Linked DNA regions of Daphnia pulex. The protein of the gene in region 1 binds, or shares a complex with, the protein of each later gene. Links are inferred from orthologs where the notes say so. Each region holds a gene or a part of one and is shown in the gene's direction. Other genes may lie near its edges.

The links. The genes of interacting proteins can lie anywhere in the genome.
Region 2: the proteins of DNA replication complex GINS protein SLD5-like (region 1) and protein downstream neighbor of son homolog are in contact, whole or in part, in a cryo-EM structure (PDB 8Q6O), measured with the Xenopus laevis proteins. The link is inferred for Daphnia pulex from reciprocal best matches to the Homo sapiens genes GINS4 and DONSON. Residues at the interface, in NP_001084702.1 of Xenopus laevis: Leu19, Thr20, Pro21, Cys51, Glu54, Gln55, His58, Asn62, Arg65, Ala66, Lys67, Lys72, His76, Asn179, Leu181, Pro184, Thr186, Asp187, Glu188, Tyr192; in XP_041437004.1 of Xenopus laevis: Tyr8, Ser9, Pro10, Ser11, Phe12, Lys13, Pro15, Ser16, Ile18, Leu19, Ser22, Thr167, Arg168, Arg245, Arg469, Val471, Glu488, Thr490, Tyr518, Thr519.
Region 3: DNA replication complex GINS protein SLD5-like (region 1) and zygotic DNA replication licensing factor mcm3-like share a complex: the UniProt entries of both Homo sapiens proteins name them as parts of the CMG helicase complex. The link is inferred for Daphnia pulex from reciprocal best matches to the Homo sapiens genes GINS4 and MCM3.

Annotation. Positions count from the first base shown.
Region 1 is NC_060022.1:2,231,051-2,241,055, forward strand, and holds DNA replication complex GINS protein SLD5-like, read left to right. Parts: upstream 1-4,115; 5' UTR 4,116-4,650; coding exon 4,651-4,773; intron 4,774-4,845; coding exon 4,846-4,992; intron 4,993-5,059; coding exon 5,060-5,211; intron 5,212-5,275; coding exon 5,276-5,449; intron 5,450-5,521; coding exon 5,522-5,621; 3' UTR 5,622-5,693; downstream 5,694-10,005. Other genes in the region: tau-tubulin kinase homolog Asator-like, read right to left, coding at 937-1,408, 2,957-3,072; ras-related protein Rab-4B-like, read left to right, coding at 5,956-5,971, 6,077-6,157, 6,398-6,492, 6,556-6,575, 6,641-6,858, 6,927-7,022, 7,091-7,215; synaptic vesicular amine transporter-like, read right to left, coding at 7,384-7,607, 7,681-7,787, 7,858-7,958, 8,026-8,169, 8,238-8,669, 8,735-8,796, 8,858-9,253, 9,330-9,435. UniProt on the Homo sapiens protein: Required for correct functioning of the GINS complex, a complex that plays an essential role in the initiation of DNA replication, and progression of DNA replication forks.
Region 2 is NC_060027.1:2,495,452-2,506,345, reverse strand, and holds protein downstream neighbor of son homolog, read left to right. Parts: upstream 1-4,124; coding exon 4,125-4,315; intron 4,316-4,378; coding exon 4,379-4,655; intron 4,656-4,687; exon of another isoform or gene 4,688-4,717; coding exon 4,718-5,141; intron 5,142-5,510; coding exon 5,511-5,694; exon of another isoform or gene 5,695-5,695; intron 5,696-5,758; coding exon 5,759-5,972; intron 5,973-6,033; coding exon 6,034-6,351; 3' UTR 6,352-6,550; downstream 6,551-10,894. Other genes in the region: zinc finger protein 431-like, read left to right, coding at 548-1,072, 1,145-1,474, 1,575-1,811; uncharacterized protein LOC124208003, read right to left, coding at 2,863-3,186, 3,252-3,381, 3,440-3,474; vitellogenin-2-like, read left to right, coding at 7,685-7,748, 7,836-7,981, 8,056-8,181, 8,245-8,382, 8,452-8,759, 8,835-9,027, 9,094-9,260, 9,323-9,526 and 3 more. UniProt on the Homo sapiens protein: Replisome component that maintains genome stability by protecting stalled or damaged replication forks.
Region 3 is NC_060022.1:5,176,824-5,187,433, reverse strand, and holds zygotic DNA replication licensing factor mcm3-like, read left to right. Parts: upstream 1-3,840; 5' UTR 3,841-3,980; coding exon 3,981-4,052; intron 4,053-4,118; coding exon 4,119-4,231; intron 4,232-4,287; coding exon 4,288-4,496; intron 4,497-4,565; coding exon 4,566-4,696; intron 4,697-4,925; coding exon 4,926-5,025; intron 5,026-5,098; coding exon 5,099-5,237; intron 5,238-5,305; coding exon 5,306-5,643; intron 5,644-5,719; coding exon 5,720-5,901; intron 5,902-6,365; coding exon 6,366-6,491; intron 6,492-6,561; coding exon 6,562-7,263; intron 7,264-7,324; coding exon 7,325-7,792; 3' UTR 7,793-7,889; downstream 7,890-10,610. Other genes in the region: protein argonaute-2-like, read left to right, coding at 1-44, 114-313, 383-424, 493-601; ARMADILLO BTB ARABIDOPSIS PROTEIN 1-like, read left to right, coding at 8,903-9,280, 9,365-9,991. UniProt on the Homo sapiens protein: Acts as a component of the MCM2-7 complex (MCM complex) which is the replicative helicase essential for 'once per cell cycle' DNA replication initiation and elongation in eukaryotic cells.

The DNA of each region.
Region 1 (10,005 bases):
GACAGAAAGGAAGGAAGTGAGAAATCCGATGCAACAATGTTACATGTTGCGCTCATCTTCCAATCAAGCGTCACGCTAATTGTCACGCTGGGTGACTAGATTTGCCGGTGCCCGTGTGACCTCATTAGCAGAGAGAGACCCACACACACACACGCACAAAGGAGCTGAAATTAGGAAAACGGCTCGCAAAAGAGTCTGCGAAGAGTCGCCAAAACTGATTTGCCAAAAACTGGGTCAAGTTCGACAGTCGAAACGTCTTTTCCTCGTTTCGCAATCGTTTTTCATTTTGAAAAACAACAATGCCAGCAAAAAGCTCGACCGGAGTGGGCGGGGGGGTTTGGCAAATGTTATTTCTTTTATATTTTTGCATGCGCTAAACAAACACGTTGACGTCTTTTTAGGGAACCTCGTAGATCGAGTTCATCACCGTGCGTCAATGTAGGCGCAGCACTACTACCCCCGGACAGCTGTCTGGATTGGACGAGGGTTAGACGGGAGTGTTCCCAATTTATTTTAACTGACTGTGTGACTAGCCACAGGACGTTGGTGGTGGCGACGAAAGCCACGTGCTGTTGGTAAAACTGTCCTCCTCTCACTGTCCCGTTCCCTTAATTATGCAGAATCGAGACCGGAAGGTCGGCCCAAAACGACAACCCAAAAAAAGTAACTGCGTCTTTCAACCCCCAAGTCGAAGCCCCTTTTCCCCTTCTGCAAGTCAAACTACATGCAAATTGAGTTGGATGATCAATTGGGTGGTTCTTGTTCTGGAAAGGCTTCAAAGATTGGGAGCTTAAACCGAGCACACAGCAGTGTAGAAATCGTTTTAAATGGCCGGCATGTATATATTTTGTTTCTTTTTCTTCCTGTTTTTGCTTACCCAACGTCGATAGGAAAATCGTAAAAAATAAAAGTAGGAGAGAAGAAAAAATAACGTACCACTTTCCAGCGCTCTTTGACAACATGTCCGGGTTGGAGTAGGTCTTCCGTGGCCATGGTGATGTGTCCGTTGGTTTGCTTAGCAGGGCGTGCTACACATGGAAGTTGCAGGAGATTTGGTCTCTTGGGTTTGCGCGTTTCCACCAAACTGGCGGCACTTTGACTCTTTTGGCTATTTCGCTCGTCGCTGCTGTGATCGGCGTCGTCGTCGTCGCTGCTACTCGACGAGCTGCTATTGCTGCTATGCAAACGTACGGCTGAGGTTGTTGAGGCTGCGACTGCTGGGCGTCGACCGGCACGAACGCAACCGCTGCTGCTCGACTGCGAAAAGCCGTTGACTAGGAGGGAGAATGCCGAGATTTTGATGCCGCCCAGTCCTGTGGCGGAAACTGCGACCGATCTGACGGATGATACTGTCGCCTCGTCAACAGCTAGCGCCGCTACGTCTAAGCAGGGACTGGGTTCCGCCGAACTAGCAACAACAAGAAAACATAAAAAATGTGAAGGGAAACCAATAAAAGCCGGGCATACCCCCCACCGAAAAACAGGGGGTTGCAGACGGGACTCGTACTACTGACGGTTCTGTGTGGGCGGCAAGCGTAATACATGAGACAATGGAGCATTGTCACGCCGTACCACCGTACTGCACCGGGAAACGGTCAAAACGTTATAGCCAACCAGCTGCGACTGATTTATAACCACTACACAACAAACGAAACAACTGCGTTACCAACAATCAGTTGTCGCCCGAATTTTTACTATGGAGAGAAAAAGGAAACGAATGCGAGAAAATGGCGCTTTTCTACTTCTAGCAAACGCCATTCAAAACTATCAAAGCATCTGAAAAGCACCGAAAAATAAGGGGGGTAGAGGTGGACTGGGGGCATAAAAAAGCCGAAGAATACGACGAGAGACAGGGGGCCGCCCCGAGAGATATTTTCAGATCGCGGTCATCAGCTTCAACAAACAATCACGACAAAAGAGAAAACGAGACGTTCATGTTTGCTGCTGCTCAACGGGCATATAGCCAACAACACGCACGCACTCACGCAAGCAAGCAAACACACACACACACACACAGTTTGAATTAGATAGAGTCCTGTTGGTATAAATACATCATTTGAAAGAGACGAGCGCCAATTCCAGCTTCGACCAGAGATTTTCAGTGGCTAACTTTGTCGACTCAACTTCCTATAATATTCAACCTTGAAATGTGTGTACAAGCGCGACCTTTTCAACGGGGGAAAAAAGAAGGAGAGACAGAGAAAAACGGCCCAGGCAAACTGGTTCTGTTTGGGATGTTTGGATCGATCAGAACAGTGGCGAAACGTAGGATTCAAGGTGTGTTTGCGAGCGATTCCTATACGTGCAATATAGTCTAGTTGGGGAAGTCCGAAGATGTATACACACATAAAAAGCCACACCACCGTTCCTATTTTTAGTCGACGAGATCGTACCGCCGAGACAGATACTGTCTCTGCCACTTTTTGCCCAATGCTCCACCTTCCTTACTGACTCAAATTCACTAGCTCTTTGAGACTGATTGAATCCTGCTATCACTCGACACCCCTTTGTTTTTCTTGCTGAACAAGGGCAACTGCGCTGGGAAGGGAGACATTGTCTACTGGAAAGTGAGAAAACGCAATACTCCATCACCCACTTGACTCTGCTCAATCCACAATTATGTTAACCTGGAAATGTAACAAAATTTAGGTTGGATCTGCTGGTTACGTTCACTTCACTAACTTCCAAACACTTTTCCTACCAACATGAATGAATAATGGGATAATCCCGGCCATACCCACTTGAGACCAGCCGTCATACCCCAGACAAAAAAATCAGTCAATGATAGAAAACCCCAGTAGTTCGCCCTCCAACAAAGCACGTATACACAGACCAGATCGTTGCCTAAATCGATTTTTCTCCAACAAGCTCAAATTGCTCAATCACACGGGACTTTCCTCGAGGAAAAGAAAACCTTATTAGTTAGCCAAAACAAATCTATTTCAGCTTTTCTTACCAGTAGTTTGGCAGAAATCTATAGAACAGTTGAACGCCATATTTGTCGACACATTCGGACTGCGGCTGAGCAGAGCAGACGAAACAAAATTTGTTGGAAGGGGTTGGGTAACGCATAAAATCGATGATGCTAAGCTATCGATATGTAGTCTAAATCGATTTATAATTTCATACGAAATCCGGTCAACGACTTTTTGAGCTGTTTCCGTGAATGGGAACTGACCAAAAGCAATTAAATAAAATATTGAAGATAAAAATTTTGTGATTTACCACTGCATTATCTCCCAGCGCATATCGGCTGCTTGCGGGCGACAAGGAGATTGAATGTAATTCGCCAGCGCGCGCACTCCGGAAATCGACTTTCTTTTTTGTTTTCACCTCTCGATAATAAATGTGTTGTGGTAGCTAGCTGTTGATATTCCCAATAAGAAATCGACGTCGATTCCCCCACACTGTGCGAACTGCGGAACTTTGCTTTTCGAAACGATATGCAGTTTTTATTGCTCGTGGACTAAAAGAAGGAGCTTTAAGTGATCGAGCCAGCTCCGCTAGCCAGATCCTTACAGACTGAACGCCCGCTATGCTTGAGCCGGTCTCTTGAATACGGCCTCGCTAGTTCTTTTTAGTTTTTTCTTGGCGCTCAACACGTCACGACAACCCGAAAAGCTTGTTTTGTTTTCTCCGTCTATACTACTACCCCTTAATTCTCTTACTGTAGCATTTTGTGCTACAGTTGGCGTAAATGAAAACTAGAGTTCCTTATGTGACGGTTTTATTTAGACCCGAGTGCAGCAATTTCAATGATCGTCTGGAAACGGTCCATGTGCAGTTCGTCACTCAACGTCCGCTCTGTTTAGTTAACCACCTGCCGCCAGATACGTAATTATACGTACATATACCTACGGTTTGTACAGCAGACCACGCAAAAGGGATGTCTTTTCTTGTAAATAATAAATACTCGTCGTGCGATCTCTGTACATTTCGTAATCTAATAATAGCACTAGATTGCTTATTTTTACAAGGATGTTGCGTATTCGCGAACACGGATGCCACGTAGGAACAAACCATCTTCTTTCGATTTCGAAATCTTGTCCTCATTTTTAACGTTCTCTCTTTTTTCGCCGTCCAATTCCACCGATAACTGTGATGGAACAGGAGTTGAAGGAAATGCGAAACGCCAACGCAAAAAAATTCAAGTTGAACAAAATGTCGAGTATACCGTGATGGTTTGCCTTACTATTGTTTACCTTGCTCTACCTTAAGGCACTACCGTCCGCCCGGTACAAACTTGGCCAAATCACAACATCTTTTCTTAGAATATAAGATGTAACTAAAAATATACATGGTTTCCGCTCGCTTGCATTTGCATAATGTATTCTTAAAGTCGATGAGCCAGCACTTAACCAAATGGCAGAAACGACTTGTTTTGTTTGTTGTCGATTGACACGCTTAGCTTAAACTGATATATTTTTTCAAAGAGGGCCAGGTTTGCTTTGCAAATGTTTGAAGAACAAACCCGTTTAGAACGGAACAATAATCCAAGGAAAAAATAGAACATTTGAGCTCTGGCTTCATTAGCCGAGTCATGCAACGATGTTTTTGTTTTTGGCGGGAAACGTTGTTTTGTGAGGCCTCTCCTGTCAAATAGCAGTCGGCTTGTGGTAAAATTTCGTTTACGATTGAATAAGAATAATAATGGCTTCCTATTCCGGAAATCTAACGCAACTAAGTGATCTTTTCGGAACAGCGGATACTATATCAGAGACCGAAGACGCCGAATTCTTATCTGCTTCTGAAGCCGTCAAGAAACTCGAAGAGGTTTGGAATGATTAGACGTGCCAAAAATGTCCTGTTTGATGTTGACATTCCTCTGTATTATTGTATGTCAAGAGCTGGCTCAATGAAATGCTCGCCCCAGAATTATTATCTCCACAGACTGAGCTAGTTGACTGTCTTTTAGAGCAGACAAAGAACATGGAAGAGAATCTGATGGCCATTTCTAAATCAGATTTTCGATTTGCTTTGCATCGAATGGAAGTATGAACTACTAAATCAAGATTATGCCCTTCCCCCTTTACTAATATATTTGTAAAACATATGTTAGGTTGAAAGAATACGCTATGTAGTTACATCATACCTAAGAATACGTCTGGAGAAAATAGAAAAATTCCTTGGCTACTTGTTGAACAATGAAAACAAAAGACAACGAAATGAACCAAGTTTGCTTACAGAAGATGAATTAAAATTTGCACAAGAGTATAGTATTACCAGTTATTTTTGTTAAGTTCCTCTAACAACCATATTGTTTGTTTTTTGACAGACTAAACTCCAACACAGAAACCCACCTAAAAACTCTTGGACTCAGACACATGCCTACAAACATGAGAGAAATCAACACCCAAAAATTCATTACAACTCCAAACCGAGATAGCTACGTTTTCGTATGCGTTAAGGATGATGCCCCCTCAGTTCTTGTGAGCGATGGCACTAGCGAGTAAGTGTTTATATTGAATTCAAATAATTTTTTCTTCACATTGTATTCAAAATTCTTATTTGATTTTATCAGGGGTGAAATAGAAGTGGAACTGCTGATGAATTCTCAACATTTACTTCCGTATAGATCAATTTCAAGCTTGTTGCAAAATAATACGGTCAATTTGTTGTAATTTAATTAAAGCTACACTTTTTGTAAAACTTTTATGTAAAATTTCTTCAGGAATACAGGTAAATTTACAAAAAATTAATTTATTTTCTATTGAATACAACATACAAAAGGTGGCGCTAATGACCAAGTTGTTTTTTGAGCCGAGAAAAAACGTCTGCTAACTAACTTGTTAGACTTCATGAACTCATATAGCCAATCACTTTCCTTGCAATCACAAAGCTACATCCTGTTAGTTGATTTCTGGTTTTGACAGTTTCTTACTGATACTTGAGACTGAGACCCTTTACATCGGTTTATTGATAATATAGCCTTTCTCCGTAATTGTATGCCCAAGGATGGCTGAAAATTTCGGTAGTATTTTCTTGTTTACTTGTTGTTCATTAGACAAACGTCAACCCATTTTTTTATTGTTCAAAAATTCACAATGCTAATCAATTCTACTTTTATCTTATTCAGAATTCCTTTTCAAATTTCTTGTCATTGGCAGTGCAGGCACAGGAAAATCCTGCTTATTACACCATTTCATTGAGAAAAAATGTAAGCCATGCTTTTATTTTTTTTTTGTATTGTAAAATTTCAAATGTGTAGATAGTTTGTAGATAGTTACACAACAAATGAAATTGTCTTGTATATGAAAGGTAGATTGTTCGTTTCGTACTGTAAATTTGCAGTTGCTTTTACAGCTTGTCTAACAGGACTTTTTTTTGCAACAACATAATTCATTATTAATGCATATTTATTAAGAATTCCCTGTTTACATTTTCTCTTGGTTCACAGTCAAGCAAGACAGCAGCCATACCATTGGCGTGGAATTTGGTTCAAAGATTGTCACAATAGGAGGAAAACAAGTGAAGTTGCAAATATGGGACACTGTAATATAGCATATTCAATTGTATTCGGTTTACCTAATAGCTAAATCATTGTTTGTGTTACAGGCTGGACAGGAACGATTCAAGTATCACAATTGTCTCTTGTTGAATACTATCAGTTGAATATGCTAATTTTTTTGTAATAATTGAGGTCCGTTACAAAAAGCTATTATCGAGGAGCGGCTGGAGCGCTTTTGGTCTACGATATCAGTTCGAGAGAAAGTTACAACGCCGTTTCGAATTGGCTTACTGACGCTCAAAATTTAGCAAATCCCAATTTGGTTGTTTTGTTGGTTGGGAACAAAAGAGATTTAGAAGAAGATCGACAAGTTTCATTTCTAGAGGCCTCTCAGTTTGCACAAGAAAATGGTAAATCGTTATTCGTTTAAGTAATAGTTTGTAAACATTTGTCGAATTCAAGATTTCTTTTTATTTAGATCTAATGTTCCTAGAAGCCAGTGCGTTAACCGGTGAAAATGTTGAAGAGGCATTCCTGCAATGTGCAAAGACCATTCTTTCTAAAGTTGAAACGGGTAATGTAAATCCTAAATTTTGTGTTATAATCAAAATTAATTTCTGTTATTGTTTTTAATATTTAAAGGTGAACTTGACCCCAATAAATTGGGCTCAGGTATTCAGCATGGAGAGACGGCTATTAGAAGATTCCAGCGTCAGTCGACATCTATTTCAGTAAATCCACCTTCATGTTCGGGTTGCAAGATCTAACACTATCAAAAAGAACTTTCAAGACGTAGAGACAGTTAACCATGTCTTAAATTCCAGTGTAATAATAATTCGAAACACGTCTATTTATATATATTTGACGAAACCGCTCGGTATTAATAACAATGTCCAAATTGATGAGAAAAACCGTTCATACAGATTTCAAATTTTCTAACGTTTTTCATCTACATTCTCGAGTTCCTCATTTTCGAATCGACTGTATCCCCTGTGATCAGACGAGAATAACGTCAGAGCAGTTAGCTCAGATACTTTTTCAGGTTCATCGGATTTAAGGATTAGGACCAGTGGAGCAAAGACTAAATTCAAAACACCCATGCAAAGCATCAGGCGAGGAAAGCCCAAAGATTCCACCAGCATTCCACCTAACATTGGACCTGTTCAGTAGGAGCAAATTATTCGTCTGTCGCATTTGTAAGTTTAAAAATGTAACTATTGAAATCAACTAACCTAAACAGTAGGCTAAACTAACGGCTGTTTGTCCAAGAGCAAAGGTTTTACCGTACGACGGGGACAAATCGACAATCTTTTCTAAACGTTGACGATTTTCTGCCAGCCTTGGTATTTTAACAGGATAACATTAATTGATCAAAATTGAATGGGTGTTATAACATGGGCCAAACTTACGTAGCCAAGAGAGGCACTAGCGACGCATCAACAGCACCTATCCCGGCACCTATGCAGAAATGCGGACCAGTTAAATGGATGATGGAACTAGCAAGAGGCACCTGGATGATGAAATGAAATTTTCGCATGGAATGAATTTGAATTAAGTATTAAAACAAAATTGTTTACCAAAGTGCAAGAGATACCCAATATTATCATAGAGAGCATTGCCACTTTCCAACGACCGACACGGTAAGCTAAACCACCGAGGAAGTGAGTGGTTAACAAGTAACCGCAACTGTCGGGAATAAAAACAGCTCCAAGTTGCCAACGCTGTAATAGAAAATAGTCGTCGGATTGAAAGAGCAATAATAACTTATTTAGATTAAATCAATTCTGACTTCCGGTTTCATAGTCTTCATGAGCCAAAATGGCAAGCACGGTTCCAGAAGAGACATGACCGATGTGGAAATAAATATTGCGCCAACTACAACACCAAGAACCAAATGGCGATGATGGACATACTGCTGAGGAGGTTCAACAGGTTTCCGGCTAGGACAATTTTCCGCTGAAAAACAAATGTCTTCTTCTATGGATTCGTCTTCATTCCTCTGTTGTTGATGATCAGAGACGCGCAGTGTCACCGAGAAAGCAACTACGAATCCATTTTTATTAAGGTTGGCTAAATTCCATGTCCTTAAATGACTTTTACCTAACAGAAGGGCAGCCAAGAAGGCGATTAATAGAAATGGTACAGATTTTCCAGTAAGCTGATATAAGAACCCGGCGATTGGATAACCTAGAAGGACTCCAACGGCTCCTCCACCTAAAGCCTAGGTTGTACCAATAAATGTCAAATAAGAATTTTAAAAAACACTTAAAATTAGTAGACAGATACTCGGCCAAGAGCTTCGCTTCGTTTAGTCTCTTCGCTGTAAGTTGACGCTACCACCCCAAGGCCTACAGAAATTTGGCATTCAGTTCCAGACATAGTACATAAAGGGAATTGAATTAAAACGACCAGCAATTGTAAAACAAGCGGACGTGATGCCTTGCAGAGCCCGAGCTGACGACAAGATCTCATAAGATCGACCAAAGGCAAAGAGCAAAGCGCATAAGATTAAATTGACGGTGCCAACGAGAAGAGGCAAAGCGAATCCTTGTCTCTGGCTGACGACGGCTATCAAAGGATTAGCCGCCAGCTGCACGATGGCTTTTAAAGAGAGCAGGAATCCCAGTCGACTATTATCGCCTATTTCAGGCTGGTAGCCTCGGCCAATGTGGAAGTGCTGGGCAGACGATTTCAATAAGTTGTACAGGCTAGACGATGTTTCGTTGCCAGTCTCGGGGCTGACAAGCGTCCCGTTTTCTTCCTGTCCATTTTCAGCACGGTGTACAAAATGCGGGAGAATCGGCACTGATTTCAAAATTGATTCAAATATGAGCGGGAAACTTAATATCAGATAATACATGTTAAATGATCTTTTACCAACCTACGGCCGTCAGTAGAAGATTGTCCAGCAAAAGAGCGAAATAGACGCTGAGTAAAACAAATTTTTCGGTAACTCCGCGTTCTTTGTTGTAGAACAGCTTCCTCATGTTGGATATTCTTCCGCCTGTCGAAGCTGCTGGGCTCAGAACTGGAGCTTTTAGGACTGTGTCCTGTCCTCATATTTATAGCAGTTGATGGCGTTGACTTACAGCCCAGTCAATGAGTATTAACTCGATGAAGCGCACGGAAGGATCGATCCTGAAAAAAAAAAAATCTGGTTATCGTAGCCGAAGCCACCAGCAGTCATACGTGTACGGTCGGCTAAACAATAAGAACAACTAAATAAGCAAAAAACCTCTTACCAGACTGTAACTTAGCACAAAGTAAGATGACAATTAAGAAACGGCATTGGAGTGTGAAATTAGAAAAGGCTTCGTGGAGGTTTTTATTTTAGACTGTGGTAGAGGGGCTCAGTTTAACTTGATGAGACCAACTATAAGACACTAAAATAATCCCGATTCGTTCACAGGATATTAGAAAACCGATTTTATGATTAAGTGGTTTGATCGTTTGGATTTAGGGATGAGAGAGTCGATTTAATTTCTATCGATATCTTATTATGCAAAATTAGATTATTAGAAGATTAGTGTCGTCTGCTTACGTTTTGTTTAAAAGTT
Region 2 (10,894 bases), on another chromosome or scaffold:
CATTCGTACAATAGGTGTCCAAATTCACCGATTTGCCAAACGAAAAATGGCGATTGATTGTGAAAACGTTTCGGTTTGCGTGAGCCAAATTCGATAACAAGAGGAAGAACGCGTGTCAAACGATGGATTAACGTGTGAAAATGAAAAAGATTGTGAAATTTGTTGATGCCGGATGACGCCATTGTTGTACAACGGTGGCGCTAGTGTCTCGTCGAAAAGCATTTTTGCCGCCCGTTGTAGTTTAGGAGAGATCCCCCTCTCCCGCCTGACGGTGTTTGGAAAAAAGACTAAAGAGAGAGAGAGAGAGAAATAAAAGCAAATCTGTTCTTCAACAAGAAACTGGGATCAAGATCGACAAGTTGTTTGAGATCAAAAACCACGATTGCCACGCATAGTATGTCAAGCTGACCTGTAGACAGAGATTTTGAGTAGTGCTTTGCTAGAAATTGGTAGATTGTGTGTCTCTTGTTATGTCCATTTTAAAAACCGATGCGTAACATTGTTTGGCTCTTGTGAGTGCAGTATATAGAGAGCTCATTGTTTTACGATGAGCTTCACCCCGTTTGGCGGCTTCCCGACGACGTTGGCAACGATCCCACATTTCGCTGTTGGGAAATTCCAGCAGGCCCAGGACCAGGGGTTTGTTTCAATACCATCGTCCCAGGGCCTGCAGATAGCCGTCAGCACAGTGGACCCATCACAACTGAATCATCACAACCTCAACGGGCATGTCCATGTTCCAACGTCCAGCACCCTCCAGATCCAGAACCAGATGCTCAATACGTTATTGAGCAAAACTGGCCAGAATGATGTGTTTGTAAAAGTGGAAACAGAGGCGGAGGAAAACGAAAGGTTTCACCAGCAACACCACCAAGATAAAAGTGCCCAACAGGACATTAGTAGTTTAAATGAATACCTGTCCCGGTTCTCTGGACCACCCACATTCCCTTTCCAGCAGATGTACAAATACCCCACTGAGCTCATCCACGTCACTCAGACTGATGATCAGCAGCAGAACATGATGAATGACAACTCCCCATCGGTTCAAACACCTGAGCAGCAACAGTCTCAGGTAATGACAATGTCACACTTTCACAACTAACTGTCTTCACACACCTCACCATCTCTCGTTCAACTTTTGCAGGTCCCCAAGAAAGCCAAAAAGAAGAAAAAGAGACGTGATCCTATCCCTGGAGTGCCTATGCCTAGGAGGAGGAGCACGAGTTTGCAGCCAGCGCTGACGACAGCTCTGGATGGAACGACGCTCTATGGATGTCCTCAGTGCCACACGGTCTTCAACAATCGGGAAGCCATCGAGACTCACCTCACGATACACCGATCGGAGAGACCGTTCATCTGCAACGACTGCGGTGCAGCTCTGAAACGTAAAGAACATTTAGATAGACATAGGTCTTCGCACATGACTGAACGCCCACACCCGTGCCCTGTATGTAGCAAGACATTCAAACGAATCGTGAGTTTTTCCTCCCTTTTTTTGTTTTTAAAACTTTTCTTTTATTAATAACCTCAGGATTTGTTTTTAAACATTACGAATGTTGTTTCCTATTACTCAGGAACACTTACAAAGGCATTCGATTATTCATCGAACTGATAAAGTGCACCGTTGTCCTGAATGTGGTAAAGGTTTCAATCGCAAGGATCACCTGACCAAGCACATTCACTCCCATATGGCCAAGAGGATTAAGCAGGAGCTTGGCCAGCAGCCAGGGAAAGCAGGGCAACAGAACAATGACAACAATTCCACCATCAACATTCAGCAGCATCAGAGCGTTTTGGCGCATCTGCATTGAGAGTTTTTCTTACGCCTGTAAAAGCAAACAAACCTTCCGCAGGATCGGTGGTCGGTGGCCTCACAGTATTCAAAAGTGACTAAATATGTTTTTCTTTTTTTTTTCTATTCTGTCCAATAATCTCTTTGAACAGTTGATTCATTTTTGTGTTATTTACCTGTGTTTTTTAATGTCATGTTCATAACACTAGTGCCGATAAGGAGAGAAAGGGACAAACCACAAACGTTTGAGGCGGCTAAACTTCGGGTCGGGTTGGGGGACATTTGTCGATTAGAAACTTGGCCGACAAGTGAAATTGAAATAATCCTTATACAGAAAAAGAAGTACTGCTAGTCTAGCACACACACACACACCTATTATATACATGGAAAGCTTCCATTGATGTATTGCAAAAAAATATAGAAGCAAGAAATGAAGAAGAAGCTGGACTTAAAAGAAAACATTCAGGGACCAAAATTGGAAATCACACACACACATGCGTTACTTACGATGTTTTTTCTTTTTTTCGAGAGCGTTGGCATAATAATACTCTTTTTTTTTTTGCTTTTTGTCCATTTCTGTTGCAAAAAAACACAGCGAAGAAAAGTTTGCAAGAATTTTTCGTTTGGTTTTTGTTTTGTCTTTGTTGAATTGAAAGCGCCTGTGGACGCAAACTTCGCCATTGTACTTTCCTAGTGTGCCACACCTGTCCTCACTTATACCCCTCTTATGTTATACTTTTCCCCGTATCTGCAAGATGATCTTTTTTGGTAAAAAAGTCAATGTCGAAAAGGTATCCTCCTTACACTCATTTCTCACAGTGAACGTGAATGCACGTACCCGTGTCATTTGTTTTCCATCCAATTATTCATGTGTGTATTGCCGATTAGCAAGGAGACAGCTGAAATATACGTGTCACAATTTGTAAGATATATCGCTTCTCAGTCTGAAATATAATTTCGTGTATTAATCGACTAGCGAAGATGAAGTGATTTCATAAAATTGAGATTTAAAAAAAAACGAAACAGAAAAGAGCGAAACATTATTGTTACATTATTAGTACTGACATCTTCTAGCCGTCGTACTTGTTGGGCTTGAATAGTATACCGTGCCTCTTGACACGCTCAATGTGCAAATCAAACAGCAGCTTGTTGGGCGTGTAGTAGTGAGGGTTGGAGTGAACATCCATGTCTGGTGAATAGGTGTCATCGTGAATAAACTGTTGATGCTGGGGAGTTCTTTCACGTGACATTTCATTGGGAATGTTCAGCAGGTCTGGAAGAGGAAGTGCTTGCCGAGTGATCCCATAGAGATTGGGGTTGCACAAGGAACATTGTATCACACTGCTGGAAGTGCTTGGTTGCAGACGGCATTCACAGATGGAAGATCCAGTAGGCTAAAGCAAACAACACAGAATATGAATTTAGCCAATGATTGTACTCCATGACCTAGAAAACTTACAGTGTATGATGGTGTGGTTTCCGAGTTCAAATTACTACCATTTAAATGCAGGTTGTTGATTCTTTTAGACAGTGGCATGAAGTCACATGCATCCGGATCACCATCACTGAGTTGACGTTTTCTCCTGTGACTGATGGTAAGGAATCACTGACATTGTTTGTATAGAAAGCATGGGAAAGCAGATTTACCATCCAGTCTCATTGTTATAATCAGATTCGTCCATAGTATTAAACGATATTGAAAAGCCTTCGATTAATTCGACGTTGTCCTTTTCTTACGAAAAAAAAACTTGTAATACGTTTACAAGACTTCAAAGATCCATATGACCTCCTAGGAAACACAAAGAAATGCATTCAATTCAATTTTAAACAGGATATCAAAAGTGTATAGGCATACAGACACAGAATATGGTTTTCAGATACTTTTGGATCTGAGCTGAGCAGAGACAAAGGAATACCACGAGTTTAACTTAAACTTTTTTTAACGTTAAGGCCTCGTACTTTCGTGTTTGTCATGAAACGTGAAATCATTTCCAACGGGAAGTTGTCTGCTATTAGGGGATAAGATTCCGATATGAAATACGCATCGCCCAAACCATTGAAATACTAAAAAGTAAAAACGCATAAAAAAATTTATTTTAATTTATTTCAGTCTCCTATCATATCTTAAAGCTTCCGCTGCTTTTAATTAAATTTTTATTTGGTGATTTTGAAAATGCTTGAAGCCGCCTTTCGTCAGATGACTGAACTTAGCAGAAGAAATGGCGCTCGTGTTCAATTCTTGTCCACAACTCGTAGAACGAAACGTCCGACAAGATATCAATCAAGTGTTGAATAATAGTCTTATAAATCTGTGGTAATAAACTAAATAAAGATGTCAGGGTCTGTTTGGAAAAAGCCTGACGAAGTTATGAGGCAGATGAGGGATAAGAAAAAAGCCCTCCAAGCACGATTCAGTCATGCATCCACCACGACAGCAACAAATAATTTAGATAATGACGAAGCCTTGGCCCCCACATCGTCCTCGTCAGCAACTGCCTCTGTAAAGAGAAAGAATCCTTTCAGGTATAGTGTAAAATGATGGTATTTTCTCGTCAAAAAATGTCTAACTGTTGCACATCTTGACAGACGCTCCCCAGCCAAGAGGCCAAAACTTCTTACAGTCACTCAAGATGACCAGAGAAATGCAAGTGCCAATGTAGATTTCATGAGCATGTTAAATGCCCCCAATGTAAAAGCTGATACCAATAAAGAGTTGGCTGTGGAACTACCGCAAGCTCTGTCAATATTCACTGCAGTAACACCTGTTTGCCAGAAAGTTGATCAGTGTCCTGTTGATTGGTCCTTAAAGACCAGGGTACGCTTCACCTCCAAATCACCTTTTGCCTTCAGCTCTACTCTCAAAGTATGTTTATCTATATCAAGCAACAAAAATACCAGATTTTATGATTCAGCTTTTCGTCGCAGACGTCCGAGGAGGCTTCTGGAATCACAGGTTTCGTGAGATGCGTCAGCTCTCTCAAATCCGACGAGTGGAGCACGTTGGACACGTCAACAAATGCGCAATTTCATCAATGCTGCTTGTTGTGGCAATATCCTTGGCTGCCTTGGTTATCTTTATTCCCTCGGGACACACGAGCCCCTATCACTTCCACCAGCTCTGTCCAAATCGGCATGGACTCGAGCGTGTCAAATTGCCTGATCAACGACTGGTGTGAAAGCTTTCGCTCTCTTTTCGGACTATTGCGCGCGAGGCAATGCCCATTCTTCTATGTCTGTACTCATCAATTCACCGTTCTCTTTCGAGCTGCTGGAATAGGAGGAGTTGCAGAAATCCATGCTCTATTAACCCCTACCACGCGTGGGATGCGAGAAGTTTTGCGACGAGAAGGTATTAAGGACAGCGATATTTAGTTCATTGGATAAAATCAATCACATGTGTGCCAGGATTGAATGACACATCCATTTTTTCTTTTTTTTTCTTAGCGTTAGTTTGCTATTACGTTTGCTTTTTTATTCTTCTTTTTACTATGCAAAACTTTGAATCAAGAATATTCCATAATTGAATGAGATTTCTAGAGAGAAAATTCGTAGAAAGTACTAGAAGACTTTATAAAACTTGATTTCTTGGAACGTATCAGTTACCATCCGGAGATCGTATTACGATCGTGGTTTCCGATTCGAGTACAAGAAAACAAAAACAAGAAGAAACTTTTGAAAGTGTCTAGAATTTCATTTTCATCTTGATATTTTAATATAGATATCTCATACTCGATGCCGTTGAAGAAAAGTGGTCAAGATCAAACGAACCCTGTGAATAATGATGAAGATGATGAAACCAAAGAAGCTGACAAAGTTGGCGATCTTGATGACGAAGATTGTGACGAAGATGATGCTGACTGGATCAACGATATCGGCCTGCATTCAAATCTCAGATCAAAATTGTGAGACTAATTAATGATTTGCAGATTTTCAACATAAATTCAAATGTCGTTAACATTTTCGTAGGGAGGCTGAAAGGTTGCAGGATGGAGGGCAAGGAACAAGCCAAGGCACCTATGCGGACTCGCTCCTTTTGATCGAAGGTGTTGAGACGCAGGGACTGTTCAACTGGCTTCTAAACAGCAAACTGTGTCTGTCCAGCACTGGCCCATTGACTGGAATTCCTCCAACTCTATTCAGTCCCGTCGCTTTCCATCAGGCCACACTCCGACCCCTCAAGGTAACCGAGTGTCAAAGCATTTCGAAATCTACCATTTCACAATATTGTTTTTCTACCCAAGGCCCGACAAGGTTTTCTGAAGCAAGACGGAGAAAATCTCTACTCCATCGAAGTTCAGGGTCCGATCCTACCCCACTCGATGGTATCGCTAATGAAACTGCTGCAAAGCAGCGATTTCACGGCTGTCTGGACTACGCTATCCAGCACCAAGCCCTTCGCATCATTCCAAAGTTCGACCGCCGCCACTTCTGCATTCGGTAAGGAAAGTTTGAGTGATTGTGGTCTTGACCGGACGAGCCTCGATCTGTTTTGCTCATCACAACTCCCGCCATCCGCTAGCGAGATCCGCTTTCAAGATGGATGTTTTTACTTTAACTAAGAGATAGATCTCTTCTCATTTTTAAAACGTCGAATAAGTGTGTTTTTAAATCATGCTCACTCTACAGTCCAGTTGAATAACAAGTCTGTCAAGAAATCAAATCTTGCCAAATCATGTTATCTTACGACTGATCTCATAATGGTACCATATAAAATGTGAACTTATTGCCGAATGCAATGAATAGATAGTAAAACAATGATTTGGACGAATGTTATGTGACGTTGACTCTGGAAGGGGATATTAACGCAAGTTATGACCATAACTGAATTCTTGTTTGATCAGAGTTAATTGCAATTTTTATCGATTGCGCATTAGCTTGAATTCAACATTCAAAAAGTGGTCCGATAACGTAAAAATAAGAGCTAGAAATTTAAGGTTTTATATAATCACAACTTTTTTCAGTCTGTTCACGGTCCAAGGATTCAACAAGCCAGTCGTGGGAGTGCTTGTGGGGTCATTGCGTGCGATAATACGTAATTAAATCAGTTCAGTATGGCAAAGAAATGTCGTCTCTGAAATAGCCTGTGATTGCAAAATCGTGAAATTATATATTTGTTCGTTGACTTTAAAGCAGAGCAAAATCACTTCGTTCAATTTTCAACTAAATGGGCCATTCAAATTTTGTTTACTTGGTTCCCTCAAGTTTACCATCTCAGCAGTGAGATTATCACCTAACCTTGAAGAGTATTTTCTTCTTTGTGTCTTTTGGAGACCTTGTACCTTGTTTGAAAAGAGATTTCCGCCAATAGTGCTGATTCCTCGTTTTTTCCTTCCAATGTGAGCCGTCAGTCAATTGGCCACAAAGTCAAATGTCAACATTTGGCCAGTCACAACGAAAGCACTGGATTTAAGTACACCCACGAGCTTAGCTTGATAAGATTATTTTACTTAGGAGCCAGTGGGGGGGATAGGGGGAGGAGTGGGAGTAGGAATAGGTCAGGAGATCTGCACATGGCCGAAATGCAAGTAAATACAAAATGTGTTCTTTATTTCGGTAGTGTCACTATCATCTCCCGTTTTGCCTCCCATGAACTAGGTTTTGGGATCGGTTGTTCCATCTGTCCGACTGCGGGAGAAGAGGGAGTGGTGGGGGGGGGGGGATTGAGGGAGTTTAGGTGGATGTCATTGCTTGAGTTATTGGTCTTCGAAGAATCGCACCACCATGCGAGACTGTGAAAACCAATCAGCTCGGAGCCTACGCTGTTTCCATGCAAAGATTTCCAACCCAAAAAAGAAGACGGGATCCCACAGCAAGTCACTAGTATATAAGGACGAATGTTGAACCAGTTCAAGTCGCTGTCGCCAGTGATCCTCCAGGACGCTTACATACACGATGGCACGTCTGAGCCTGTTGGCCCTCGCTCTTCTTCTCGTCGCCGGCAGCTGCCGTGCGGAAGGTAAAGACTCAACTTGGTTTTATTTCACACAAAATTTAGTTTTATTCATTTAGTTGAAACTAACGGTTTGCGTCAACTTCTATTCAGGTTTGTTTGAGGATGGTCAAGAATACCAGTACAGTTACCTTACTTTCACTACAACCGGCGTTCGTGATCCCACTCCATCTGGCTCCTCTTTCGGCATCCGCGGCAACTTGCTCATCCAGAAACAAGCCGGAGAAGCCATCGTCAAGGTAGATATTATTTTTAAACATTTTCTCTGTCTCAAAATAGATTGTCTTATTTAACAATTTGTGTTGTTCAATAGCTTTCAGATGTGACCTTAGGTATGCACAATGGCCCCGACACTCTTCTGTCGACTGTCAAGTTCTTGAAGAAGCCCGAGTTGGTTTTGTTGGAGAAACCCTTCAAAATTTCTTTCCTCAATGGAAAGGTAAATCGTCAACTGACAATTTTTTTATGAATTGTCAAAAATGTAACATCATGTTATTTTCAGATTACCGGATTCGATGCTGACGCTTCAGATGCCGAATGGTCCATCAACATCAAGAAGGGTTTGGCTACCAAGTTGCAAATGGACGTCGTTGCCGGAGAAATCGGCAAGGGCGACACTGCTTTCTTGCGTACTGTCGAGGTAAAGAAAAAAAGTTGTCCATTTAAATAAAAAACATTAACAAATGAATTTGATTGTGCATAAAATCAGGACACTGTCGTCGGTACCTGTAACACTACCTACTCGTTCGGAGGTTCCGAAAAGGGTCGCTTGATGCTGATTAAGCAACGCACTCAGAGCGAATGCACCAACGTTCCTCGTTTGGGTCATAACAGCTTCGGAGCCACCAACTGTGCTGGTAAATCACAGGATGAGCTCGTCGCCACCACTCAGCTTTACTACCAGCTTAGCCGTGGATCAAGCAGCAACACTGCCAAGGCCCACATCATCTCATCTTTCGGTTACCAGGTTCTCCAATGGCACCCACCTGCAGGCTCTCCTTTCTACAACTTGGCCAAGTATCATCAAGTCGTTTTCTTGTGTTATCTTCTTAAATAATCTTAATGTTTGTGTTTATTTGTTCTGTTACATAGCACTACTTTGGTTCTCAAGTCATCCGGCCCCATTGCCAAGCCCATCTCCGCTTCTGGCCTGACCAAACACTATGGCAGCCTTCGTTACACCCTCAAGCGCCCTATCCCCACACCCGAGGATATCGACTTGGCTCGTGAAGAAGATTTCTTGCACCCCGAGGAACCCCAATCCCAACAAGCTCTCCGTGCTAAGGTAAGCGATTAATAATTTATCTATTAAAATGTTGCACTGTTTAATTGAAAAATTGTGATTCTTCAGGCTGTTCCCACTTTGACTAAGCTGAAGGAAGTCATTGGATCATCAGCCCTTGATGATGAAACTCTTTTGGATCCCACCGCTATGGCCGCCCTCCAACTTTTCCAGGCAATGAGCTTGGAAAGTTTGAAAGCTGTCTGGAAAAATGTTGAAAGCGACGAGGAGCTCAAGTAATTTTCATGAAATTAGATTTTCAAATTCATTTGATGCTGATGTTGATTTTTTTGTTTAGGAACTTGTTCACCGAGATGATCCCACTTACTGGCACCAACCCTGCTGCTTTGTTGATCAAGGAATTGGTTCTGGGTGGCAAACTCAGTGAAATGGAAGCTCGTCGTATGGTTGCTTTCCTCCCCTATTACTTGCGCATGCCATCTGAGAAATTGTTGACCTCCTGGGAGGATCTCTTGAAGGAGAGCCCCAGCATCAAGACCAAGTAGGATTGACGTTTAAATACCTTTGTTTAAATGATTTCTCTAAATGTTTGAATTGTAAAAAAAATTAGGGAATTGAGAGGAGCCATCGCTTTGGCTTTCGGTCATTTGGTTGGCGTCACCTGCGGTGGCAACAAACTGCGTCCCTGCAAGACCGATACCATCAACAAGTACACCCGCATGTCCTATGAAGCCTTCAAGTCGGCAAAGACCCACCCCGAGATGATCGTTGCCTTGAGCACTCTGCGCAACACCAACTTGCTCCCTGCCATTGAGCGTCTTATTCCTCACGTCAAGAGCGGCTCCGTTCCTCACGCCGTCCGCCCTCACGTCATCTTCGCTCTGCAGCCCATCGCCGCAGTTAACCGCAACAAGTTCTTGTCTGCTGTTCTCCCCCTGATCCTCAATGCCACCGAGACCACCGAGATCCGTATCGCCGCCGTCTCTACCCTGTTCCGCGTTCAGCCCACTTTCCTCGAGCTGCAACAGCTGATCGCTGGCGCCATTTGGGAACGCAATCAGGAAGTTCTCAACTTCATGATGACCACCTTCCGCGTAAGACCAAATCGAATAACAATAACATCAGTAGATTGATTTACTTTTCCTTTGCAGAACTACGCCGATTCCAAGAATCCTTGCATCAAGCCTATCGCCAACCAACTGCAATTGTTGTTGCGTCGCGTCGCCCACATCAAAACCAACTTCTTCCGTTCCAGCAACCGCGTCTTCGACTTCCATGACCAGAAATATGGTTTCGGTGGTGGTCTGCAACTTGCCACTATCTACGGTGAAGAGTCCCGCGCCCCCCTCATCATTTCTGGACGTGCCAACTATCGCGTTTCTGAATTCAACTACGTTCCTCTTGAGATCATGATTCGTTTGGAAGGTAAATTACTAAAATTAATTGGTGAATTCTCTGTACAAAAAGTAAAAATCGTGTTCTTTCGTATTATTCCACACCACCAGGTGTTGAGGATGCCTACGTCCGTCTCTTCCGCAAACTGGATCCCAAGGACTTCAAGCTGGATACTCTGAAGGATCTTTTGCAAAAGACTATGAAGGTGGTTCCTCGCCAACAGGCTCCCATGAAGATGGAAATCTTGTTGCGCTCTCAAGGCTACACTTTGATGTACCGTCACATGGCCATGGAAGAAATAGCTGGACTGATGGAAGGAAAGGGATTGGTCGAGATGATCTCCCGTGGCTTGAAATTGACCCGCAGCATGGTCATGCTCGGCGGACAACACGTCAGCTGGAGGGCCAACGATGTCGGTCTGCCCGTCGGTGTCGGCCTGAGCACTCCTGGATTCGCTCGCCACCAGTTGGCATATGGCAACGTTAACCAGCCCAACAAGCTCGGCCGCTCCATC
Region 3 (10,610 bases), about 2.9 Mb from region 1:
CAACCGAGTTCGACTTTTACTTGTGCTCGCATCAAGGCATTCAGGTGAGACAATTTATTTCCTTAATATTTATTCAGTGGTTTGATATTTAATGTATTTTTCTTTATGTACAGGGTACTAGCCGTCCTAGCCACTATCACGTTTTGTGGGATGACAACCACTTTGACGCTGACGAATTGCAGTGCTTAACTTACCAGCTTTGTCATACTTATGTGCGCTGTACTCGTTCCGTCTCCATTCCGGCGCCGGCTTACTACGCCCATCTGGTGGCTTTCCGTGCCAGATACCACTTAGTGGAGAAGGAGCACGACAGGTAATATTTAAATGACGGTGGTTGGCAACAAGACTTTATTAATCCTTTATTGATTTCCAATATTTGCAGTGGGGAAGGATCGCTACAGGATTGCATTAAGAGTTACACCAGGTACATTTCTTTGAACGTTAAATCAACGCCTAGAAAATGACTAAAATTTTCTATTTCTATTGAAACAGTGGAGAAGGTTCGCATCAAAGTGGCAGCAGCGAAGATCGCACGCCAGGCGCCATGGCTCGTGCTATCACTGTTCACGCGGATACCAAGAAAGTCATGTACTTTGCTTAAAAGTCATCGTGAAGTTTTTCCTCCCTCCCCAGTAAGTTGTCTCTTGGTCATCACGTGTATATCGGATGCGGATCAGGATGGAGTAGGAGTGTGGGGTTGTTGTATTTCCACGAGACTTGACGCTGTTTTTCTCTAGCTAGTTTGGAAGGTCAGCTTGCGAGCACAATATCCAACACATATTTCATGTCACCAACCATCATCACCACCACATCTCTGATCTGTCGTGCAAGGAGGAGCATTTCACACGTCCCTTTTAACAGAGCCATCCCCGGCGCAAAAGAATAATTTGTCCACGGCCGTCAAGTCTTTCATTATATTTTTCACGCTTATGGCGGGAGTCGAAACACATACTGCGGTGGGGTTTTAAACGAGACTTTGCACTTAAAATGTTTAATTCCCTTGTGGCAATTTAAAAAACACTTGAATTTGTTCCCCCCTATCCCTTGAAATCATCTCTGAACACGAAGTAACGGGAAGAGCGGTGTGAGAAAGGGTTAGAGATAATTTAGTAGCTCTCAACTACAATTGCATTTCCCCCTCCCTTCAGCATGTGGATGTAGTACGGACCAAGCAAATCGTGAAATTGCCCAATCAGCATTTCCCCTTATCCCGACCTCGACCGTATCTACTTCAAAGAAAAACGACAAAATCAAATTGACAATTCTTTTCGTTACCGATCTGTTTGTTTAACAATCCACTGTCCCCCCCCCCTCTCTCTCTCAACACCGCTCCCAGTTTTTTCTTTTCTTTCTCGCGTTTAAAAGCATTTCATTCGTTTCCCCCCTAAGAGGTTGAGAGGACATCTGAAATCGAACTAACGGCGCGCGTTAATAACAAAAAGTCAAACTTGTTTCTTTTCTTTTTTTTTCCGGACAAAAAAATTTACCTAGGATAGAGAACCACCTTTATTATCTTTGTTCTTCGATACAGTTGTAATCAATTTCGAAAAAAATCTAAAAAAAAAATACCAAAAAAAAACAAAACATCATCGCCCCTCCTCCCGCGCTACAAACGTCTTTCAGCGTTCGTTCAAAAAAAAAAACGTTTTCAATCGAAAAAAAGCAAAAGAGAGAGAGAGTAGTGTGTGCATTTAGAATCTGCTGGGAAGGCCATTTCGCCATGACAAAATTATCCTTGCCCCCGTAAATAATTCTTTCTCACACCGACATCGACCATCTTCCTCAAGAAAAAAAAGCTAAAAAAAAATAATAATTATGTGTGTGTGCGTGAGTGTACATGTGTATTTTGTTGTGGCGAAGGGGCGGTCCCAACGCAACATTCGGGCAGCTCTTAAAAAAACGTCCGGGCAGGAGTTGACGAGGATAAGAAAATAATAATATCCCACCCACCGCACCTCGACGTCAGCCTGAAAGAGTTTGCTGGCGATGTAATACTATATACTACAACCCTACAATCAAGTTTGGCCCTCTCTCCTTAAACAACAAAAAAGAATATCCTTCTTAACTTGTCTTGGTTTTCCTTTTGATTGGATAGTGAAATAAGTATCGTGTAGTTAATTAGTTGTGTGTGCGTGTGTTGCTCTTCTTAAATTTCTTTCTTTTTGGACGGGAGGTCGGGAATTCCTTCGAGCGGACAATAATAGCCATATCGTTTCTCGGCAAGCGTGAGAAATATCAATTCTTTCTTCTTCTTCTTCTTCCCTAATTTGTGTGTCTCTCTTCACGTCCTCATCTCACACTCTTTAGATTGGCTTTGGTTTCCCTCTTTGTCGCCTGCCGCTCTTTTGTCTCCCGAGTTATGTTCCCCGTGTACCTGTAGCTGCTTTATAAACAAAAGAAAAATGCGCCGAATCTGTCTCTCGGCTACTAATTGCTAAATAAGTGAAAAATCAGGAAAAGCATTCAACAATTTTTAGGCGAGTCAGAATACCGTTGACATATCTGATCAAGTCTCCCCTTTATTTTTTAACCATTTCTCCCACTCTGTACTACCCGTCCTCGCCGCTTCAAAAAAAACAATCCTTTTTCTCCGCTCACGTTCCCGATCCCTCCGACGGCTTCTTTTGAAAAACAAAAATATGATTTTGGGTTTACTTTTACCTCTACTGCATCATATTCCCTCCGCGCCATTTACCTCCAATGTGTGTGAGTGTGTAACGATTTAACTTTTATGTTGCGCGTGGTGACTTTTCTTTCCTTTGCAATTTTTTTTCGTCCAATTTTTTTTTCTTCTAAATTGTGCCTCTTTATTATTTAGTTTTGGTAGGTCTTACGCTTTCATTTCACTACGGGATTTTTTTTTTTTTTGCTTTTGTTTTAAAAAGAAAAACAAAGATATGGGATTTAAAGGGGGAAAGAAATTATTGTTCAAAACCCTGGTGACAAAAGACAAACTTCTGCCCAAAAACTTTCTCAACTGAATCCGTTCAAAAAACTTTCTAGATAATTCGAGCTCTTGGGTTGGATCTGGGCTTATTTCCTGATGTTTCTGTTTTCTTTCACCGACATTCCAAGTCAGATAGGAATCCAAAAATCAACAACATAGAGGTCCCATTCACGTCCCGTTCTGAAAGTTCCAGTCAGCTTTACTTCCATCATATAAAAACATAATCTTTACTACCCCCCACCCCTCAGCTTATTACAGTTGAGAAACTTATAGGAAAAAAGTCGGGACATTTTGATTTCAAATGAGAAAAACTTTAACGAACACATCTCTTTTTGGGCATATCTAAATTCGAGGAAGAAAGATGCGTCTCCCTCTCTTGTTCTCCTTTCTTCAACTCCTCGGATCAATCTCAGTTGAAAACACAGAATATTTGTTGCGCCTGGAATTGAATCTAAAAGAAAAAAACAAAGAAAAGATTACATACGACTTTTCCGCTTTTGTAGAGATAACCCCAGAGAATGGAATAATTTGTGCTGTCTTATGTGGGGCAATCATCAGTGAGAATAATGTTATCATGTGTAGTCCTCATAAACATAGCTCTACTTTTTTTTTCTTCCCTATCCACCTATTTCTGTCGTAAAAATCATGCGTCCACGTCTCGCCCTTGCATAATTTACCCGATTGTATCATCGCAAGGGGGAAAACTGTATCGTCTATAATACACTTGGGCGTATTAGCCTGTTTTACTCCCAATACTATTATTTCGTTTATTTAATATTTTTCACAAAATATTTTTCCGAATTTGAATTTCATTTCAAATCGCCCGCCAGCCTATACTGTCATGTCACTAGATGGCGTATTTTGGCGGGAGTTGGCGCTTTAGTTTCATTGTGTAGATTCGTTGTCTGCTGTGCTTGTAGTCGGTCACACTTGTTTTCAACTTTTCAAGTCTGCGATCGAGATTTTTTCAGTGTTTTCACTGAATTTGCTATTTTAGATTAATTTTACTTTGCTTTCCACTGGTTATTCGAAAATGTCTGCAGGAGATGTCGATCAACGCATCCGAGACATTCAACGTGAATACGCTGAATTTCTCGACGACTACGTAGGGACCTGTTGATTTGAACTAACAATTCAATAGGTGGTTATTATTAACTTTTTTGCTTTGCAGAATCGAGATGGAATTTATACTCAACTTGTGAAGGATATGGTGAGTAACAAACAAACTAGGTTGGTTGTCAACATCAATGATCTTCGCCGTGTCAATGCTGCTAGAGCCAATGGGTAAAATAAACACTTAACAAAGTTTTGTAGAAACACTCACCTTTCTTTTCATGCAGCCTGCTTACAAATGCTTTTGAAGAGCAATTGGCGTTCCAGAAAGCTTTAGCAGAGTTTGTTGGAGGTATTGATTCAAGCTATGCAAAGGAGCATGACGAGTTTTTTCTTGGTTTCGAGGGAAGTTTTGGAGCAAAGCATGTCACTCCAAGAAGTCTCACTTCACGATTCATTGGAAATTTAGTCTGTGTTGAAGGGATTGTCACAAAGTGTAAGAATCCAATTTCTTTAAAGTCTTAAGATAAATTAATTGATTTAATTAATTTAATTAAAATGTTAGGTTCTCTGGTTCGACCGAAGATCGTTCGCAGCGTGCATTATTGTCCTGCAACAAAGAAAACTATCGAACGGCGTTACACCGATTTGACTAGTTTTGATGCATTCCCTTCAAGTTCCGTCTATCCAACCAAGGTAATTTATCTTGTGGTAGTAAAAATAGAACTTTTGAAGGAAAGAAAGGAAAGATTTCGAAGTTCAGTCTAGTTGTATCTAGCATCCTCAGATGGCGTATGAAAGTACACAGGTCGTTATTTTTAGTTAACTTTAAAAAAAAATAGAATAAATTACGGGATGACTTATGAAAATGAAATTTAAAAGTCTACAATAATTACGAACTCATGTCTGTCTTTGAATAATTTAGGACGAAGATGGCAATTTGCTAGAGACAGAGTATGGACTGTCTACTTATAGAGACCATCAAACGTTAACGATCCAAGAAATGCCAGAAAAAGCTCCTGCCGGTAGATACAAATTTTTTGGAGCGTAAATTATAACCCCTTTTCTAACACGTTCTTTTGACCTTGCTCATTAAAGGACAACTGCCTCGTGCGGTGGACATTATTTGTGATAACGACTTGGTGGATCGATGCAAACCTGGCGATCGTATCCAAGTTATTGGCACTTTCCGCTCGTTACCAGGAAAACAAGGAGGATTCACATCAGGTGCCTTCAAGTAACGCGTCTTCTCAGAATTATTATTTCCCAAAACTTTGATATAACATTTCGTCTTTGATCTTACAGGACGATCCTCTTAGCTTGCAACATTGTCCCCCTCAGCAAAGAGGCTTCCATCTTCATCACTAGTGATGATGTCCGAAAATGTAAAAAATTCTCTCGGATGAAATCAATTGACGTCTTCCAGCTCTTGGCCAAATCTCTGGCGCCTTCCATCCACGGGCACGAATACATCAAACGTGCCCTTCTTTGCATGTTGCTCGGCGGTCTAGAAAAGGTTTTGCCCAACGGTACTCGCCTTCGTGGTGACATCAACATTCTACTAATTGGCGATCCTAGTGTTGCCAAATCTCAACTTCTTCGTTACGTCCTCTTCACGGCGCCGAGAGCCGTTGCTACAACAGGTATCATCTTACACTGGTTGCCTTTCTCCCGCCCTATCGATCTTTACCGTTTCATAAATCTGATTTTCTTTGAAAGGCCGTGGTTCATCCGGCGTCGGTTTAACTGCTGCAGTGACCAACGATCCTGAATCTGGTGAGCGACGATTGGAAGCTGGCGCCATGGTTTTGGCTGATCGCGGAGTTGTTTGTATCGACGAATTTGACAAAATGTCCGACATCGATCGAACTGCCATCCACGAAGTCATGGAACAAGGATCGGTAAATATTTCACTGCTGCGTTACGTTTCGCCTGACATAATTCTTTTATTACTTTTGAACCAAAACTTACTTGAAATATTAGAAATAATTTAGTTCAAAAATTCCGCAATGCATCAAATTTCCCACTTGCTTTATTAGACGTGTACATTTTTTCTAGAAATAGAAAACTAACTTCGTTTTGCCATGATCGCTTTGAAAATGGTAATTTGATGTCCACCGGCCGCGTGCGCCCACTAGTTAATTGAGTTCCCATGCTATTCTGCTTTCAATCAAATATTTAATAGTCCGTACCACGAATTTCGTTTCCCTCCATTCCTAGTATTTATTGAAATCGATCCAATCCAGCTTACCTCCACTCAAGCAAAAAAGTTTACTTTTGTCGATCGATTTTTTTCGTCTCGCCCATCCTTTTAATATTAGATGAAAACTCAGTCAATTGTTTTTGTTTTGTTTCTTTCCTTCAGGTAACCATTGCAAAGGCAGGCATCCATGCTCGACTGAACGCTCGTTGCTCTGTCCTGGCAGCCGCCAATCCAGTGTACGGTCGCTATGACCAATACAAAACACCCATGGAAAACATTGGCTTGCAGGTTCTTTTAATAGGTTTTCTATAATTGTTTTGGAGCAGATGATCGATAACGGTTGACTGCTTTTCTGCAGGATTCACTACTGTCTCGTTTCGACTTGTTGTTCATCGTGCTGGATCTGGTGGATGTTGAGCAGGACCGTCGAATCGCCGACCATGTTGTCCGAATGCATCGCTACCGTGCGTCAACGGAACAGGATGGGGAACCGCTCCCATTGGCCATGAATTTGGACATGCTATCGACCAGGAATCCGGACGAGAATGAGTCTACCGTCCAGGAGACGCCGCTTTATGAAAAGTACGACGCTCTTCTCCACGGTTCAAGCCGTTTGAAAACGGACAAAGTCGTTAGCATGCAGTTCATGAAGAAGTACATTCACGTCGCCCGCGCCCTTAAGGTTGGTTCGTTATTCTTTGTGACATTTGGCAAAGTTCTCATGATATTTAAACTTGACAAATCTCAGCCAACATTGTCGCAAGAAGCAGCTGACGCCATCGCTGAAGAATATTCGCGTCTCCGGTCTCACGAAGTTGAAAATCCAGATGTGGCGCGCACCCAACCGGTAACGGCTCGTGCGCTCGAGACGCTGATCCGTCTCTCCACGGCTCACGCCCGTGCACGTCTATCAAAAGTCATCGATGCTGATGACGCGCATTCGGCCATTGAGCTCGTCCAATTCGCTTACTTCAAGCGAGTTCTTGAGAAGCAGCGTAAGAAGAAGAAGGTTGAAGACGACGGCGAAGAGGATGATGAAGTCGATACCGAAGAGGAGGAGGTAATTTAACAGTAATCCATTTAGTCTCGAGTCTGAATGTAACACGATTTGGCGAACATAGGAACCGGAAGAAGATGTCGACGAAACGACCGTGTCTACTGCCGAGTCGCAGAAAAAAAGGAAGCGCACTCGAACCACTCAGGAAGATCCGTACGAATTCGACGCTACCAGCAGCCAACCGACGTCCAGTGGCACCACCACCAAACGCGCCAAAAAGTCAACACAAGACACGACGGCATCTCAAGGTTCCTCTTTGGAAACGGACTCTGTCCCGATGGATACGACCGTCCATGAAGATGAGACTCCCGCTTCTATTAGCGATGAGCGTTACAATTTGTTCAAAAAGTCGTTGACCCAATTATTCCGCGAATCGCGTGCCCAGTCGCTGCCTTCCAGCCGTTTCCGCGCTTACCTGGTCGAGAAACATTCGGCCGAGCCTTTCCAGTCTCATGAAACTCGGGCAGCATTCGAAAGGATGACGGAGGCCAATCAAATCATGGTAGCAGACGATATTATCTTTCTCATCTAATTTCCCTTATCCGAATGATTTGGTGTCACCTTTCCTTCTGTTTACTATTTCGATACTAATAATTCATCACTAATTAATCAATAAACGAACAAAAAGATTTCAGAGACTGTTATCTAGGGCATGAAACGGCATTACGTAAACGACCGTGAAAAGTTTGATCATTGATGTGGTAACTTGGCAAACTTGAAATGAAGTTTCAATATATTCAAAACAGAGAGGATATTCCATACAGTAATGGATATTTGGTGTCGGAACTTTTGGGAGGGCTAAGTGTTAGTAAAATACGTTAAACTTTTTGGTTCAATACTTTTTAAGCAGAGCAACAGTGCACCAAGCCACGAATTCAATTTTCTAGACATTTCCATTCCACAACGGCGCCGACGCCATCCACTTTATATTTGGTTCCTCATCCCCCAAGTAATAGAACGGGCAAACGTCTCCAGAGGCTTTTTCATGTTCCCTTGTTCTCCGATCTCGCAAAGTTTCCCATCAAACACCAAACGATAAAACGGATGAACCCCATAACAATGCCGAATGTTACTACGATCTTTCCAGGTTAATACCTTTGTTCCCCAAGGTAATCCACTTTTTGTACGTTTTCATGCTTATTATCTCTCTTTAGTACACAGCCAAGGATACGACTAGCTCCAAAAGTCATCTCGTCATCATCAACAGCATGTCGTTTATTTGATCTAGCGTGCATTTGGAATGTTTTTCAGTGTAAATGATTATCATAACGTGGGTTGGACGTATTTATGTATGGCAGTTTACTTTAATGGATGACTAAAAGATAAAAAACAATTTCTCAATAAACTGCTGTAGTATTTTTTCGTTTGATCAACAATTTTGTTTGAGTTTTCAATTATTACGGGATATTACTGATAACGAATAACGCATTTCAGACATTTCGAAAAAATCGGCCATTTTCAAGGTCAAAATTGGCAATGTCGTCTGCTCCAAATTTCAGTCCACTTTAAACTCAGCTCAAGGGTGGAAGTGTCGTTAATGGTTAATGAGTTTGAACATTAAGTACGATCAAGATAATCAAATTGACAAAAGTAAAAGTAGTCAAAAGTAAAAGTCATTTTTGTGCAAATATCAGAGAAAAGAATGTCGATAAATGTAAAGAAACTGAACGACGGTGAAACGCAAATTGTGTGGAAGACTGTGGTCTCGGATTCAGAGGCCACAAATGACCGGGGAGTCCGTTCCTCTTGGTTCAAACTTGAACGTGTTCACTGTGATGCTGCGAATGCAGTTCAGCTTCGTTTAGAACAGTTTGAAGAAGACGATTCTAGTAACAATGCACAGAAAGCTTTACGTTTTCATTTCATTTTGAAACTGATTACTCCTGGAGGCAATGAAATCGACGAAGAAACGAGTCAACCTTGCAGTGCTTTACCTGAAGCTGTAGGGGTCAGCATTGACGAAGGAAGCATTCAAATGGCGACAAACAAGATGAACGAAAAGTGGTGCACATGGCAATCGGTAAATATTTCTTGTTTTTTGTCTGTCTTTGTTTGTGTCGTGTTTTAGACTTTATATGGCTGATGACGTGTATCGGTTTTTAAGTTGATGTACAGTTCCACGGCGATTTACGACCAGGAGATTACTTGTCGTATTTGGATCAAGTTTAACGAGATGACAACAAAGGCCCCGAGTAAAAGTGAAACGAATGCATTGAAGCAGTTTACAAACTTGTACGTTCGTCAAACCAACTGTGATGTGGAGTTTCAGTTTGATAACGGCCAATGCGTGGGCGGACACGCCATCATTCTGACGGCCAGAAGCCTAGTGCTCGCTGCTATGATACAACAAGCGAATCGTCAGGGCGGTCAGGGCAAGATCAGGATCCACCACATCCGCTTCGAGATTTTCAAAGACGTTCTCCACTTTATCTACTCTGGCAAAGTTTCGTCCTCCATCAACCAAATCAAAGCCCAGTCATTGTTTGAAGCTGCCGACGAATTCGATGTTGGAGATCTCAAACAACAATGCGTTAGTTATCTGATTTCACACATCCGAATGAACAACGTTTATCAGTTAATCTCCTGGGCCAAGTTACACTCGGTCGACGAGCTCCTAGAAGCGGCCGTTCATTTCCATTGTGAAAAATTGATCAAGCTCTTCCCGAGTCTAAGTGTGTCGGCCTGTAGCCGAATCACCATGGCGATGTCTCTCGTCTACTCTCACATGTAAACCCACAGACGAATGTCCACTTTTGTTACAAAGTCGTTTTATTCCGTTTTTGAATTTCTAACCTAAATTTATGTCTATTGCTCATTTCCTTTTTGGTCATTTTCGGAGTTTATACCAGTGAAATAAACACGACGAATAGTGTCACGACGTAAATATATCTATCGATTGTTTGGTTCTTTGTTTAAATGTAGGATAGTGTGGTAGCTTTTTATTCTGATTGGCGTTTCCGTATAGCCACCAACATTCACGCCGCCATAGCGTGAATATCGGGGATTGGGGTGGGGGCAGCTGTTTCTTATCGTGCGTCTAGCCGAGCTCACGCATGTAGGCGCCGTATCGATTTGTTTCAAGACACACACGCGAAGGGAAATAAGTCAGATGTTTGTGTGCAGAGTCGTCGTATGGCGTGCCTTGCCACTGTTATTTCTCGTTGGTCCGACTGGCACAAACACACGACCTTGGCCGTCGTCGTCGTCGCGTTCAATCCAAGACGGAATTATTCATCATTTGGAGCACCAGAATAATCATAAGTAGGACGTGAGCATCAGCAACAGAAAACCAACAGTATATTGCGAGAAAGTTCCAGCGAGCGGTGCATAATTCGTTCTTATGACAGTCA